3 linked regions of the Drosophila melanogaster genome follow. The protein of the gene in region 1 interacts with the protein of each later gene in a pairwise test. Each region holds a gene or a part of one and is shown on either strand. Other genes may lie near its edges.

Region 1 (5,146 bases):
ATATAGCATATAGCATAATACCCTTCGCCAACATGTCGGGGCATAATTTGGCATTGCCCAACTGGCGGGGGGGTTATGCAACGGTTGTCATTATGCATTATGCGCTGGCTGCTATTTTTTCTTTCTTTTTTTTTTGTGTGGTTTTGCTCAGTTTTGGGCCATGGCATTAATGTCACCTGCTCATCGCTGTTCTGGCCACAATGACTCCGCTAAGTGCACGCAGGAAAAACAGAGAAAAAAAAATTAATAATAAAATTAAAATGGAAAATAGATATAGTGAAACGGGTAACAGGTCTATTGGGCACCCCCTTGCTTAACGAGTAACCGTTTACACGCCGCAAGTTGGGAAGACGGTCATAACCATTACCCATTAACCAATTCATTTGGACCGAGAGTGCGGCTCGTTAACCAGATGGAGGAGAAGCCAGCACTCGATTCCGCATCCATTTCCATCTAATGTATTCAACTCCGCCGCAGCAATGGGCCTCTAATGAACTGCTGATGGCTTTGCGCAAGTGTTTTACGGCCAGTACATTTGACATTTGACCAAGGAAATGTTTTTAAGACTGGGATTACTTATTAATAAATATCTAAAATATGCCAAAATAAATATGTGCCAGGTATAGGCAAGATATAAAAAAAAGAGGTACCATATATCTTTAAAACCAATCACTAAGCAATAGAACGTCTTGCCAAAGAATTGATATTTTTGTTTTAAGAGATACGTTCAAATGACTTTTAGTTGTTGTGTGTAGACAATCTCTAAAAAGTTGCAATTAACTTAGCAAATCCCACGAAGATTTGCACCACATGTGTAATACTCTAATGGAAAAATAAAGTTAATTCGGTTTATATTAAGACCGTTTGTAAGCCAATCTTTCGCATCGAGTGCTTTTGCTTTGTACCCAATAGCCGGGTCGAATTTAATTGGAAAAGGCGTTGCCGACAGACTAAATAACTGACCACCATTCACTGAAAACTCAGTCTGAGAATTAGTATTAGAATCGGACAAACGAACTTTGTTCTTGGCCAGGCAAAAATGATTCGTTTGATTTTGCGCAAAGGTTGCCGGAGATTCAGATTCTGCTGTCATGTAGCGTTTATTTGTTTGTTCAGCCATTATTGTAATTATAGTATTAATAAATCTCGCCACTGGCGGCCGGCGAAGGTCGCCCCGTAATAATATCATTTTGGCATTAGATATTTTGAAAGGCATTTCAAATCTGATCACTTTGCTTAATTGCCGTGCAGAACTTAGTGCTGTTAAATGAGGCGTAAATTGGAAATCACTTCTAAGCTAAACGAAAATGCCAAAGGCTTATGAAATTGCCAAGCAAATAAAACTCAAGAGTATTAAACATATTTTATAATAGGCAAAAACACTCCGGTAATAACATAAACAGTCATTCGCCCAGACCCGCATCAACTTATAATTTACTGCCCAGGAAAAATATCATCATAAAAAATGTGTGAAAATTCGTATAATACAAGATCTGCGATACGGACTTTAACGCTCATAATTGAAACATAAAGCCACAACATATCGAGTGGTGGATAAGAAATTTCGAGATTTGCATATTAATCGGCCCGAAAAATATAAAAGGGTGCATTGTTTAACGGCCATAAGTTTCTACGCTTTTCGATATCGGGTTGCCACAATCGATTTGCATAACTCTCCCGAAACAACCGCACAATTTGGAGCGTCGCCTGGTCAATAAACTTATTGACCGACTTAGATATGACACCTGCATATATATCTTTTTGTTTATGAAGAGACGCAACCCCCCCCCCCCCGCCGGTTTGCCTTCGGCGGATTTCCAGCTCGACTGCTCCACTTTCATGGCGTTCACTTTCGCTTTTTTCCTCGTTTTCGATTTTATTTATTTATTTTTTATTTTGGCCCAGCTATCATCACTGAGTTTTGTTATTGCTTATGCCTTAGAGTTGATGGCTGATAGCTTTTAGCTTTTGGCCCAAAGCGCGTTGATGGCTAAACTGGCTGCTGTATCTTGGGCTAAGGCTTATCTGGCCAGAGCCATCGATTCGACGAACGACCTTGAGACCGTTACCGGTTTCTTTGGGCCAGGCCACTCTTGCATGGCCCAGACAAGTTGGTGATTTTTTTTGTTTTTTTTTTTAATTTTTGAGTGTCTTTTTAGCTCTGACTCTGGTTCATCCTCAATCATGACAGCGACCAGGGGTCAGGCCGAATATGAGTAGTAGGTTACCAGGTAGTTAACCCCGAAAATTCAAATGAAATGCGAATGAAATAGAGTAAAAAGGAAAGTTCCCTCAAATCACTTCCCTATAAAAACAAAAAACCTTTTTAAAATGTATGTAAAATTTGTAATTTATATAGCATTTTAAGTAGCACGTCAACCAGTAAATGTTGGACACCATCCATATAGCTTAATATAATCAACAATCAAATATGACACTGAACACAAAGCGTAAGTCATAGGAGAACAATAAAACTCTCCCTTTTTTCGGCTTACGATTGGTTAGGCTCTTGTTAATTGATTTATGAAGCAATTAACGCATTTGAATCTTCACTTTTGCATTGTTGACGTCGGCGCTGTTGCCAAATTTCGGTAGCCAAAGCGATTAATGGACGAACGCTAACCAATAGCGCCCCCCCCCTCTTCAATAACCCCCTCCATTAATAGCCCCCCGTAGTGTTGTTTGTTTTTGGAACAGACCTGACCTATGCCAGCATTTTCAGTTGAGGCTTAGCCCAGTTAGCAAGTTCGTTGCCTAAGTCTTTCGTTTTGACATACATTTTGAGCTGGGATTGTCGCTTATTTCCCTTTTTTTCGGCTTTCAGCCGCCTTATATACATACTCACCCGAAATATAATAAAATAAAAATGCGGCTTGCCAAACTTAATTGCAATGCGAACTCTCCGAAGCACCCAAATATATAATTGAGTTCATAAACAATTTCAAAATGCAAATAAACCAGCACAAACACTGAGCGCACAAGAAAAACACAAAACAATAAACACAACCTGAAGTTTTTCAAATTAAAAACGCGACAACTAAACGGCCCGCAAAATGTCACTTTGTCTTGTGAAAGATTCACGCATAACTGAAAACTGAAACTCGCCGCTAAAAAAATATTCAGCCCACTTCAAAAAAAAAAAAGAGAAAGACAGAATGAGAGAGAGAGAGAGAGAGCAGGCGGAAGAGAGAGAGCGAGAGAGTCAGAGAAAGCACCAGAAGTAAACAAGTAAAAGCATTTTAATGAAACCTGTAATCAGTAGAAAGTGACACAATGCCCGCTCCATTGGGCAAGCTACCAAGTAGTTGGCCCACGGAGAAAGGTTCAGGGAAAACTCTTGGGTCAAGAAGATCCAAAAATATTCGCTATTAGGCTATTGGGTTACAAAATATATATTAATTCTATCTTTTTAATTTAAATATTAGTTAATTAAGGTATTGCCAAATGTATTTAAAACTAATTTTTGAAGCGAAACTCCTGAGCCGAAATCCGTAGTTCATTCCCCTGTTCTACCTTCCACTGAACTTTAGTTTGAGGAAATGAACCCAAACAAGCTATTTCACCCCTCAACCTTTACTTAGTTTTTACTTCCGCTCATTGCGAGCTTTCGCTTTTTGCGTTTCCATCCAGTGATTTGCCCCACCGCATCCTTGGGGGAGTGGTTCATTGCAGTGGCTCCCACTGAATTCCATCGGATCTCTTGCATCAGCCGCTGTCCAAGCTGTTACGCCACTTGATTTAGAGCCCCTCTTTTACGCTTTCTTAGCTGCCCAAGTGACCAACAAGTCTTTCTCCTCACTTCTTTATTTATTTCGGTTACGAACTAGCAAAAAAAAAATGGGTTTAACACAAACGATTAACGTAACTATGATTATGTGATGACTAAGCTGGCTAGAATGGCTCATTATGGTAGGGGTTCCAAGATCTATGGTGATCTGCCGGCTTGGCATGATGACCCATGCTGCTGCTGGCGAAAATATTCTTGGCTGCACTCGAAGCTCCTCCAGCGGCTCCCAGACCGGCATTCAAAATCAATCCAAGGGCATTGCTCACCAGATGGGAGGCCACTTGCTTCACAAATCCTCCAGAATCAAAGTTATTTGCCGCCGCAGCTGCCCATCCACCGCCCTCCTTCTTCTTTCGCGGGCGTGGCAACTCCGCACTTCCGTGTCGCTCCTCTGAGCCGTCCTCTGAAATTGGTCGAAACTTTGCCTCCAGGAAGCTGGTGATCAGGTTCTTGGTGAAGGTCAATGGTTGCGGTGGGCCCTCCTCCTCGGGATCCTGTTAAAGATTGTAGAATGTTGTTTATTGCACTCGCTAAATAAATGACGTTCAGGGGTTAGTAACACAGTTATGAGGTTGGGATCTAGAAGGTAAATATATATATAAGCAAAATATATAAATACAGCGCTCAATGCGGCCAGCACAGTGCCCAAGAAGTTGCCTATAAACTGGCCATTGTTAATCTGGAAAAAATAATATATGCAAGTAAAATGACTGGAAATTCATGAAAATAGGTTTGAGGAACCCACCGCTCCACCACCTCCAGAGAGACCATCCAAAGCAGTGCCCACATATTGTCCCAACACGAGGCCAAAGTTCTTATTCCCGCCCAGAAGACCAGAGATCAGCGAGGTTCCCGTTTGAATCAGACCTTGCACATCTAGGCCTCCAGGCTAAAAGATAGTTTTTCTATTTAAATACCCTTGATTGATTGGAAAACTTCAATACTTACTCCAAATAAAGTGGATATCACACCGGTAAGGGCACCAATTAAGGCACCCACATCGGAACCACCTTCACCCTAAATAAATCCATTTTAAATAAATATTTATGGGTTTCTTAGCCTTCCACTTACACCGCTCAGGCTGCTAATGATGCCAACCAGACCGCCACCGCCTCCTCCACCACCTGCTCCGTCTCCGCCATCACCGGGCTCATCCCCATCGCCCAGGTCATCGTTGTCATCCGTGGCCAATTCCGACGAGGAGCCTGTGCCCTCCGCCTCCACCTGTTTCTCCGGCTTTGCTTTCATTTTCGGTTTACCTTTGGCTGTAACATTTGGCGACTTCAAAAGGCCGTGGGACAAAGGGTTAGGTGAACCAAGTCAATGTTGGGTTAGGTCATCATCAATTAGCGGTCATTG
Region 2 (3,459 bases), on another chromosome or scaffold:
TTCGACGAGCTAGTGGTAAGTTGGTAACATAGTCATGCAGCCTATTTCATACTAACTAACTCCGACCTTGCTTTTTATAGGCAATCAGCGAAACCGAATGGAAAGACCATCGCACTGTCTTTCCCTCTATAGAGTAAAGTAATTTGGAAACTAGACACCTCCCCTCCTTCTCAACAGCCGAATATGCACTGGACCCATCAAAGGAGGAAATAGAGCGTGGGTTCTTCTTCAGCATTATTTTATGGATTGTATGAGTCTGCATCTAGTTGTATTAGAGACCTTTATTATTGCACACATGAAGAACCATCCTCTTGACTTTAAGAAGTAGATTGTAATTATGTCGCAATGCTTTTACAAATAAATAACTTACCCAGATGGGCGTCTCTTGCGCCCTGGGAAATAACTATAATACTGATCAGAAACGTTCTTCCTATTTGGAAGGTCCGATAGCAATTATGTCTTGTATCTTCAAAGCATGTATTTTGGCGAGATATAAACTCAAGTTCATGAAATCTGTATGTATACAAATGACGCTAGAAGAATCCTATTGATAAAGAAGTAGATTGTAATTGGAATGAATAATAAATACATAACCAGCACAGAAACTGTTTTGCCTCAGCAAAGGGTAACCGAATTATTACTTCAGACAAATTAACAAGATAAGATATGAAAATATTGAAAATGTGTAATAAGATACAGTGGCTTAGTTAATATGTCTTTAACAATTTTATTGCCAGCAACAGAGGGTTTCACAGAGTGTTCATAGGTGTCTTTAATTTCTAGGTTACAATAGATTTGAATCCAATTCAGACTGGCTTATATAAGCATGGTTTTTGGCGTAGAAACTAAGCGCCCAGCTGCTTGTAGAGGATGGGCACATAGTCGTCGTACTCAGCCTGGTAGAGGTTACCGGCAATGGGATTGCCGAGGGCGTACTTCTTGGCGAACTCGGCGATTTTGAAGCCACCGCGTCCATCTCCGCTGTTATTGGGCAGTCGCTTCTCGTCGAATGTGAGCTTGCACCGCTGCTCGTAGATCAGGAAAACGTAACGATGGAGTCCGGTGTCTGGTGGAGGCCCGGATCCCACGTAGGCGGAGAGAACCTCGCCCTTGGCGACATCTCCACCGGGTATGTTGCCCACCAGCCAATGGTGCCACTCCCTAAACTTGGGATCCTTGCGACTGGGCGCATCCGGATCGGTCATGCAGAGGGTGTACAGCTTATTGGCGTCCGCCTCCCATTTCACGCACGGCTCATCCTTCACCTGGGTGGGGGTCAGGACCTGACCCGGCTTCACGACAATATCGCCGGGATATTCCACCACAGCTGTCTGCGCCGGTGCCTTGGCGATCACATCCGGAACTACGCAGTGCTCCTCCATTGTTTTGCCTACTTTTTCGCAAGAATACTGCCGCTGAGATGCGATAAATGCAAAGATTGGTTTCGGTTCCTTGGTTAGGATAGAATTGCTAAAAGTTTTCAGCGTTCTAATGGCGGCCGGAAAGTTGACAGCTGAATAATTGACATTCACACCGGTTGATCGGATGTAATCTTTTCTAAATCCATTTAAAGCGCTGCGATTGAGATTACGCAACACCCGGAGCCGCATACAAATCATCCTTATTGCTTAAGTAAACCAAATTGGATTAATTAAAAAACTGTTTATTGTTCTATTTGCCGACTGACAATCGATAAGTTGCGATTCACCTGTAAGCGTTTAAACGTTTTTATCGCTATCGATAGGAATGTGTGATTTTGAATTTCTAATCTTCGAAAATATTTGCGCAGTCTACTTGAGAAAAGCATTTCCGGGAAATGAAAATAAGGCTGTGAGAATACTATAAGCAACTGAAATCATCATGGCTTGGGTTCCCACATCACGATTCGAGCACGATCTGGTGCAGTTGGAGCCGCACTTTAATCTGGTCCATGGACAGATCGCCTATGAACTGAGGAAGAAAGAGGAATTCTCAGAATCCGTTCCCATTCATACCTATGAGCTTTTGACAGCCCGCGAGGATCTGCTTGGATATGGCACGCGGGGTGGAAAGGGCCGAGAGATTCGTCAAAGTCTGCAAATGATGGAGACGATTCAGAGAGTAGCTGGCACCAAGCCGCTGGGAGAGCACGCCACAATGGAGGACTGGGAGGACACCACAATGGTGGACGTGGAGGCGATTGCCATCATCCGGAACTTCGGAAGAATGACCCTGAAACAGGACTCACTGACACTCCAGCCGCAGATCAGCTTACCTGCGGTTGCTCCAAATGAAAGCCAGCGATTTCCTTTAATCACAGATCGCGACTTCTTCACGCCACGAAAGATTCGTAGACCAAAGGATCTTCCGCCAGTGGAGAACAGTCCGGATAACTCAGCCGATGACTCATTTCACACCGCTAAAAGTCTGAGCAACTGCATCTGGCTGAACGGATTAAAATATCCAGATAAGACCAGCAAGGGCGAAATTCAGAATACATAGATACTTCATTAAATTACTAACTAACAAACCTTGAAAATAACTTGAAGATTTATTTTACTAAATCCGATTGAGCATGTACTCACATTATTTGCAATGAATATTGTCGTTCGATTTGGAACGACCTACATTTACCAATGTAGTAGAATATTTTAATGGTTTTTTTTTAGTAATACATAGATACGAATATCATATCAAAAATCAAAAAATAAAACTACAATTACAAATCGTTTTCATTAAGTCGTGTTTAATATATGTAAGTGTAACCTAAACCTATGTGCTTATGCTAGCGAATGTATGAATAACAAGAGTGAAGGAACAATAAATGGAAATGATGAGATGAAAGTGATTGCAGGTGATATGCACAGATATTTGGACCAATGCCTCGTTTACGGAGTAAAGCAACCTTGTCTTCAGGTCAGCCGCTGCAAGGGATGTAACTAGACCTGGTAGCGCTGCTTGTGTCAGGCCTTCCGGAAGATGTCGCTGGATCCGTAGGACAGCCGCCGTTCCTTGGTATTGCTGGTGACCAGCACCTCCTCGTCGAACTGCGACACCCGCTGCATTTTCGGTCGCATCAGTCCACGTACATCGTTCAGCGATATATCAATATCTCTGAACGCGTTGAGCAGGAACACAGCTGTGATAACGATCAGGAAGCCGCACACATCGCCGAGAATATCATCGAACCGCATGTGGGTGAACTCCTTGAAGAGGATGGCAGACGCAGCTATCACCAGGGTGGTGAACATTACATAGTACACTGGAGTAACTATACTAGTATTGAATATATCCAGCGCCTTGTTCAGATAGTTCATCTGGATGGCTATGAAAGTGACGGTGACCAGGATCAGGAACCATGGCATCCATGTGAGGAAGACGTTGCCTCCGTTATTCAGCGTCTGCCGTATGGCTAGGCCCAATGCCTTGCAGGACATCACAGTCAGAGATCCGATGCCGGAGCACAAGAAGATATAAACT
Region 3 (5,640 bases), on another chromosome or scaffold:
CAAAAAAACGGCCCATTGTATTGATCTTTTTGGACAATCGGTGGAAGAACTATTGCTGCGATACAACAAAAACATAGTTAACGAACAAATTTTGCTAACACGACTGGCAAATGCAGCCATTGATATTTATGCAATGGTTGTGACGCAATCGCGATCATCCCGTGCAGTCAATCTGAATCTGCCAACTGCACAACACGAGCTCAACATGACCAAGGCACTCACTATTCAGGCATCTGATCGAGTGATTAAGAATCTACAGGCTGCCACATCCAGTCATCATAGGTCTCTCAATGAGAAGATTTCCACCATCGCCAAGACCACTTTGGAAAATGGCGGTGTGACTACGACTGGAATCTTGGATCAAAACTAGACCAATATACTTTTATACGAATTTTAAGCCCTTGATTGTTAACCTAGTATGAATGCCAATAAAGTCTTGTAAATAATAATCGCTGAAGTCTAAAGTTCACCTCGCTCTCACATACGAAATCTCTCTAAAGTGATTATGCACTATCATTGAACAAATGAGTAACAAATACTTGATCATCTATAAATGAACTCAGATAATAGAACTCTTGAAATCAAATCACCTCTATTCCTTTTACGTAGAAAAGCTCACAAATATAATTTAAAGCACTTACCATCTCGATCTGATTTTCAAAGCTGGACGGGCAATCTAATGAAATACAAAATAAATCGAACTTAATTTGGTTTTGTTGTTTTAATTTTGATCATATATTTGTAATTATGTAGTATAATAGTTGGTGTTTAAAAATTCGCTTTTCATATTACAACATTGTTTGTTTGCTGAAAACCTAAAAATCATCGTTGTTTACTTTTTAATTATTGTATTGTACGTTTTCAACAATATTTATCTGTTATTTTTTAGCTATCAAGCGCCTTGGTGTTTCAAAGTTTTGCCTTAAATGTAACAAGCAATATTCTTTTAATTGACTTTCAAAAATTGCACGAAAAATTTGGTAACATAATAATTGCAGCAAATATATTAGATAATAATTGGAAACGCCTTCGCTGAATATATAGATAATAGGATTAACAATTTCATACTTACGTTTATAATTATAGGATATATAGTAAAGCACAGAGAATTTCGCTTGTTAACTAAGATATTGACAAACATAACACATATATAATACTTTTTCGAGTGTAGAGAAGCTTAATAAAACAGCACTTTCTCTTTAGATATGCGATTAGATTTAACAATCATAATGTTTGGAATTGCATAAATTTACATGTATAACTTGACGGTTTTTCAGGCAGCCAGAATGCATATTTGATTACAGCGTGATCTGTGCAACGGAGTAGCGTAGCTCTTTGGGCATGGATCTGGGTTTGATTATTACCGAAGGCTAATCTACAATGCTTTTACTAACCAACACGCTCATGTATGTATATTATGCCTTGTATATATTTATGTATGTATATTCTAATAAATTATTGTACTCTCTTGCTAGTGCCAAATGCCGCTTTGGCCGCATCCTTTAATTGTCCAATTGCCGTTCCCTTCTCTCGATCGTGTCTGCTTTCTTAACATATGAGTATTGCCGTACTTGGAGTATTTTCTTGTTCATTAATTTTGCTTGAGATTATTGAATGATTGATTATTGCTGAACAAATTGCTGGAGGGCTTAGAGGGTGACATCGTGCTCTTCGTCGAGCATTTCAACAAATGCGCGTGGCACCAGACCCTTCAATAGACCCTGTTTTCCGTACATGTAATCCTCGTTTACTGGTGAGCACTCCGTCACGAAGATCACCTGAAAAATGAGTTATATATAAGCATTGCTTAGGATATTATTTGTTCTTTACTTTACCTCATTGGCGCTCAAATTAAGCTCGGTGTGATCCTTGGCGTCGTAGGAGCAAAGGACGCGTGCCCTCTGCATCTGATCCGTGCTGACGTGCATGGGCTGATTAGGCTTGTGGCCGGTGGCAGCCATATTGGCAGAGTGATTGTTGCCAGGACCACGGGCTGCGGCTCCGGACGATATGTTGGACTTGCTGGCACTGGCCTCGTTCACGTCGAGCGGAATGTATGGCGTGGGGCCTCCCAAGCTGATGGAAGATGCAGAGTTTAATGAGTTTTTGATTCGATTTGATAGCGAGCTCTAAATGGAGAGATGAGCTGCTGAAACCTGACTTTACAAAGTGCAACAACTACCGATAACAGCAACCTATCTAGTACGTATGATTTGAAATTAAATGCTAATGTTAACTGGGCATGGAATCCGATTCGATATGAAGATCACAATAACAAGACCCCTAAACTGTGGAGACGGCTGTCGTATCGAATTCTATGTGAAAGTCTTCGAGCAGATTCGTAAGCGACTTGTCCAAATCGGGATCTGGATCGCTATCTAGGGCTATCCCCCCTAATGAATCGGAATCACAAGAATGCATCGACACCGAGCTGGGAGGCCCACAATCAACGTCTTCGCTATTGATACGCAGGCGTGGCTTGGGATGCTGCATTCTGTAAGACCACAAGCAGATATCATAACGCACAGTGAGACCACCAGAAGGGACCACGGGTTTCATCAAGGATGGGACATGGTGTTTTGGTGTGCAAGAAAAGATTCGTTTGGTGCCTACGTGGAAGTCACAGTCATTCTCTATCGATCGCCTACTACTTACTTGGCCAGTTCACGCTGCAGCTGCTCCATGACATCGCCGCACTGCTTGTAGTAGCGCACTTGCGTCTGGATGAAGGCGTGCAAGTGGCGCAAATGAGATGCCTGCGATGTGCTGATCCCGTCCAGCAGCAGCTTGGTAATCTCCGCCTGCCGGTCGAACTCGGCCTGAGCCACCCGCAAGTCCCGTTCCGCCTAGAAAAAATCGCAATTAGAAATTGGCTCATTGATTAGCCATAAATCTAGAGCACGAGCTCGGTCAAGGTTTTGATACCTGTTCCAAGACGGCCTCTGGCGAGATGCCATCTTTCTAAAAATTCCGGGCAGCAGAGGGCAGAAAAAGACCGTGAGTGAAAAAGCCATTACGAAACCCAATCAATCATACCCCCTTGCAATAAGGAAACCCCATCAAATCCCACCCACTTACCGATTGCTGACCCAGCATGCTGCGCGCTTTCTTCACCCTGTTCTTGCAGGCGTCCAGATCCAGGCGCTTGGTCTCCAGGATGCCTCGCTCCTTGCCAATTGTCTTCATTTCGCCGTCTAGGAACTTGCGCAACGGCTGTGTAAAGCAAATGCCCGAGGTGGCTATAAAGTCGTGCTCGCACTGGCCCAGTTTCTGTTCCGCTTGGCCGACCTTGATCAGAGCCTGACCATAGGGTAAATCCTGCCCGAAATCGCCCCCAGCCTCGATCATGTCCAGAGCCAGGTGCTCTAGGTTGCTCAACCTTTTTGGCTTCGACTTTTCAATCTTCTCGAAGATGAAGTCTTCGACCCGGTTCTGAGGATTGGGTATCAGCACCGACTCTGTGTCGCGCACTATCTTCTCCGTCCATGTCTTGGTCACATCAGCCCGCTCGGCGAGATTCTGGAAGTGCAAGTCGTACTCGGTGCGCTCCGTGGTGCCCAGTTTCTCCTCCGTGAGCTGAAAAGGTCATTGAAAACAATGGAGAGCCGTTGAAAAGGGCAAAGAAACAACGAAAGTGCTTGAGATTGGTTTGGGGTACATCTGTCATTTGCCCAACCACCGAAAGTTCACCACCACCCGCTTTTTTTTCAGCCACCCAAATTCATTGATTTGTTCACCTGCACCACTCGTGATATTGTGCTGCCCGCCTCCTTCACCAGGTTCTTCACATTGAAATTCGGCAGATTTATATTCATTTTTGCCGAGAGGTTCGCTAATTAACACTGCCGTTGATAAAGTTTAAATTTAAATTCCGCTACACAGCCCAATTTGTTTGTATTTATTTCCTCTACTTCGTAGTGTGACCCATTGTTTCTCCCAGGAATATACCAAATATACCGAAGAATTCCAACTGGAACAGAGTTCTAATTGGAAATACTACTATTGAGTAAAATGTAAAATTGTATTAATTTTTAATTTATCATAGCTTTTTCTTCTTTATTCTTCATGTAAATGGTGAAACGAAATTTACTTCTATTAAACAAATGCCACGACATCAAAGTAGATAACAATTAAGCTGTCTGTTAGCAAATACATACCTACATACTATGTAAGCTAACAGTTTCGGTAAATCAAGTGTGGTGAGTATCTATATAGTAACGAAAGCTACTATGGCAAGCTTTAAAAAATGTGAACGTTTGTACAATATAACATAGTCAATTAATCATGATATGGATGAAAATCATTTTTCAACATTTAAACTAATTTTTACTTACCCTGCTTGCAGACCGTGCACCTTGTAATTAAACCCCCAAAATAAAACACGATTTGGAAAACATTTAAATTTAACTTTTCACATTTAATACACACTCATTAGACATATATTATCGGAGCGGAAAAATTAAAACATGCATTCAATTGATAACTTTTCACCACTCTGCTGCTTCTTACATTTATGGCTGACTTTCGCTTTTCCTTATACATCATATGACAATCTGTGCAAAATCGAGTGTGCTTTTATCACTTTCCTATATAGTTTTCGGCTCGAATTCATATTCATTCATGTTGAGCGAGAATAATACACAGAGTTCTGGACAAAAATCAATTACAGCTATATGTATATATTTTAACTATCTGTTATAGATCGGATATCTTACACACATGTTAGGATGCACGTATTATTTGGGGGTTTCCTTGAATGTTCCAAATCCGTTAAATTCCATTGTGCTGCAATTGTTGGTGATTATAATACTTAATGGACATTTATAATACATTTAATGGACATCTAGATTGTTATGGAATAGTTGTGTGATTTGCCCTACACTACTAGTGTTCACATTAATAGTTAAAAATCTACAAATTCTCGATCCGACCTCAATATTTGATACAGCAGGTCGCATTGCACACGTTAACAAAATGGTTTTGCTTAGGCTCTTGATTTAGTGGACCATGTGTAAAATCACATATTGCATTAATGTAAAACTACGCTGACATGAACCTAAAAGTAGCCCTTGTGTAAATCTAGTGTTTCTTTCGTATTTCTGCTATCTTTGATTAATTTTGAAATGGTCCCGACTAACTTGAGAAACCTAGGGCGTGCGGATTGTGGGTGCACGATGGGCTTCTTTGTTTAAAAAAATGGTTTTGTTTAACAATTACGGCATAATAATCCCTAGGTCTATTTAAGCAAAATTGCACAATGTGGTTAATATAGTTTCTGGTTTGCAATCGATCAATTATATTATGAACTTTTAATTCAATCAACATTCATGTGAATATTTATGCCATTTTAAAACGAGATTCAATGCCATTACAAATGTATAACTACACGTATATAATTAACAATAAGTTTCATTCGGCGGACAAGCGCCATATCTTCAAAAAATCAGTACAATTGGTATTCATTCGTCCACGAACAAGGGTAAAATATTATTTTCTCATTTTAAAAATTATTGCTTTTTATTTGGATTCCTTTGTATTACGATTTCTTTCAATCAAAAATATAACTAATTTATTCCAGTCGCCGTATTACAACGAGCATTCAAAATTATCCCAACTCATGCTTAGAGGAAAACGAAAGAG

Evidence for each region. Proteins that work in one complex are often made in the same cells at the same time.
Region 2: the proteins of CG43386 (region 1) and CG6180 interact in a two-hybrid assay, tested with the Drosophila melanogaster proteins (one large-scale study listed by BioGRID).
Region 3: the proteins of CG43386 (region 1) and EndoB interact in a two-hybrid assay, tested with the Drosophila melanogaster proteins (one large-scale study listed by BioGRID).

The regions. Positions count from the first base shown.
Region 1 is NC_004354.4:9,974,314-9,979,459, forward strand, and holds the start of CG43386 (uncharacterized protein), read right to left. Parts: upstream 3,093-5,146; 5' UTR 2,846-3,092; intron 1-2,845. Other genes in the region: CG15252 (uncharacterized protein), read right to left, coding at 3,892-4,281, 4,407-4,466, 4,533-4,676, 4,736-4,804, 4,859-5,068.
Region 2 is NT_033779.5:12,705,931-12,709,389, reverse strand, and holds CG6180 (uncharacterized protein), read right to left. Parts: upstream 1,730-3,459; 5' UTR 1,620-1,729; coding exon 846-1,619; 3' UTR 710-845; downstream 1-709. Other genes in the region: CG5787 (uncharacterized protein), read left to right, coding at 1-15, 81-137; CG15484 (uncharacterized protein), read left to right, coding at 1,861-2,481; spict (spichthyin), read right to left, coding at 2,943-3,459.
Region 3 is NT_033778.4:19,306,738-19,312,377, forward strand, and holds EndoB (endophilin B), read right to left. Parts: upstream 3,929-5,640; 5' UTR 3,816-3,928; coding exon 3,738-3,815; intron 3,577-3,737; coding exon 3,079-3,576; intron 2,962-3,078; coding exon 2,926-2,961; intron 2,847-2,925; coding exon 2,656-2,846; intron 2,495-2,655; coding exon of another isoform or gene 2,290-2,494; intron 2,077-2,289; coding exon 1,836-2,076; intron 1,779-1,835; coding exon 1,650-1,778; 3' UTR 710-1,649; downstream 1-709. Other genes in the region: Acadvl (Acyl-CoA dehydrogenase very long chain), read left to right, coding at 1-370.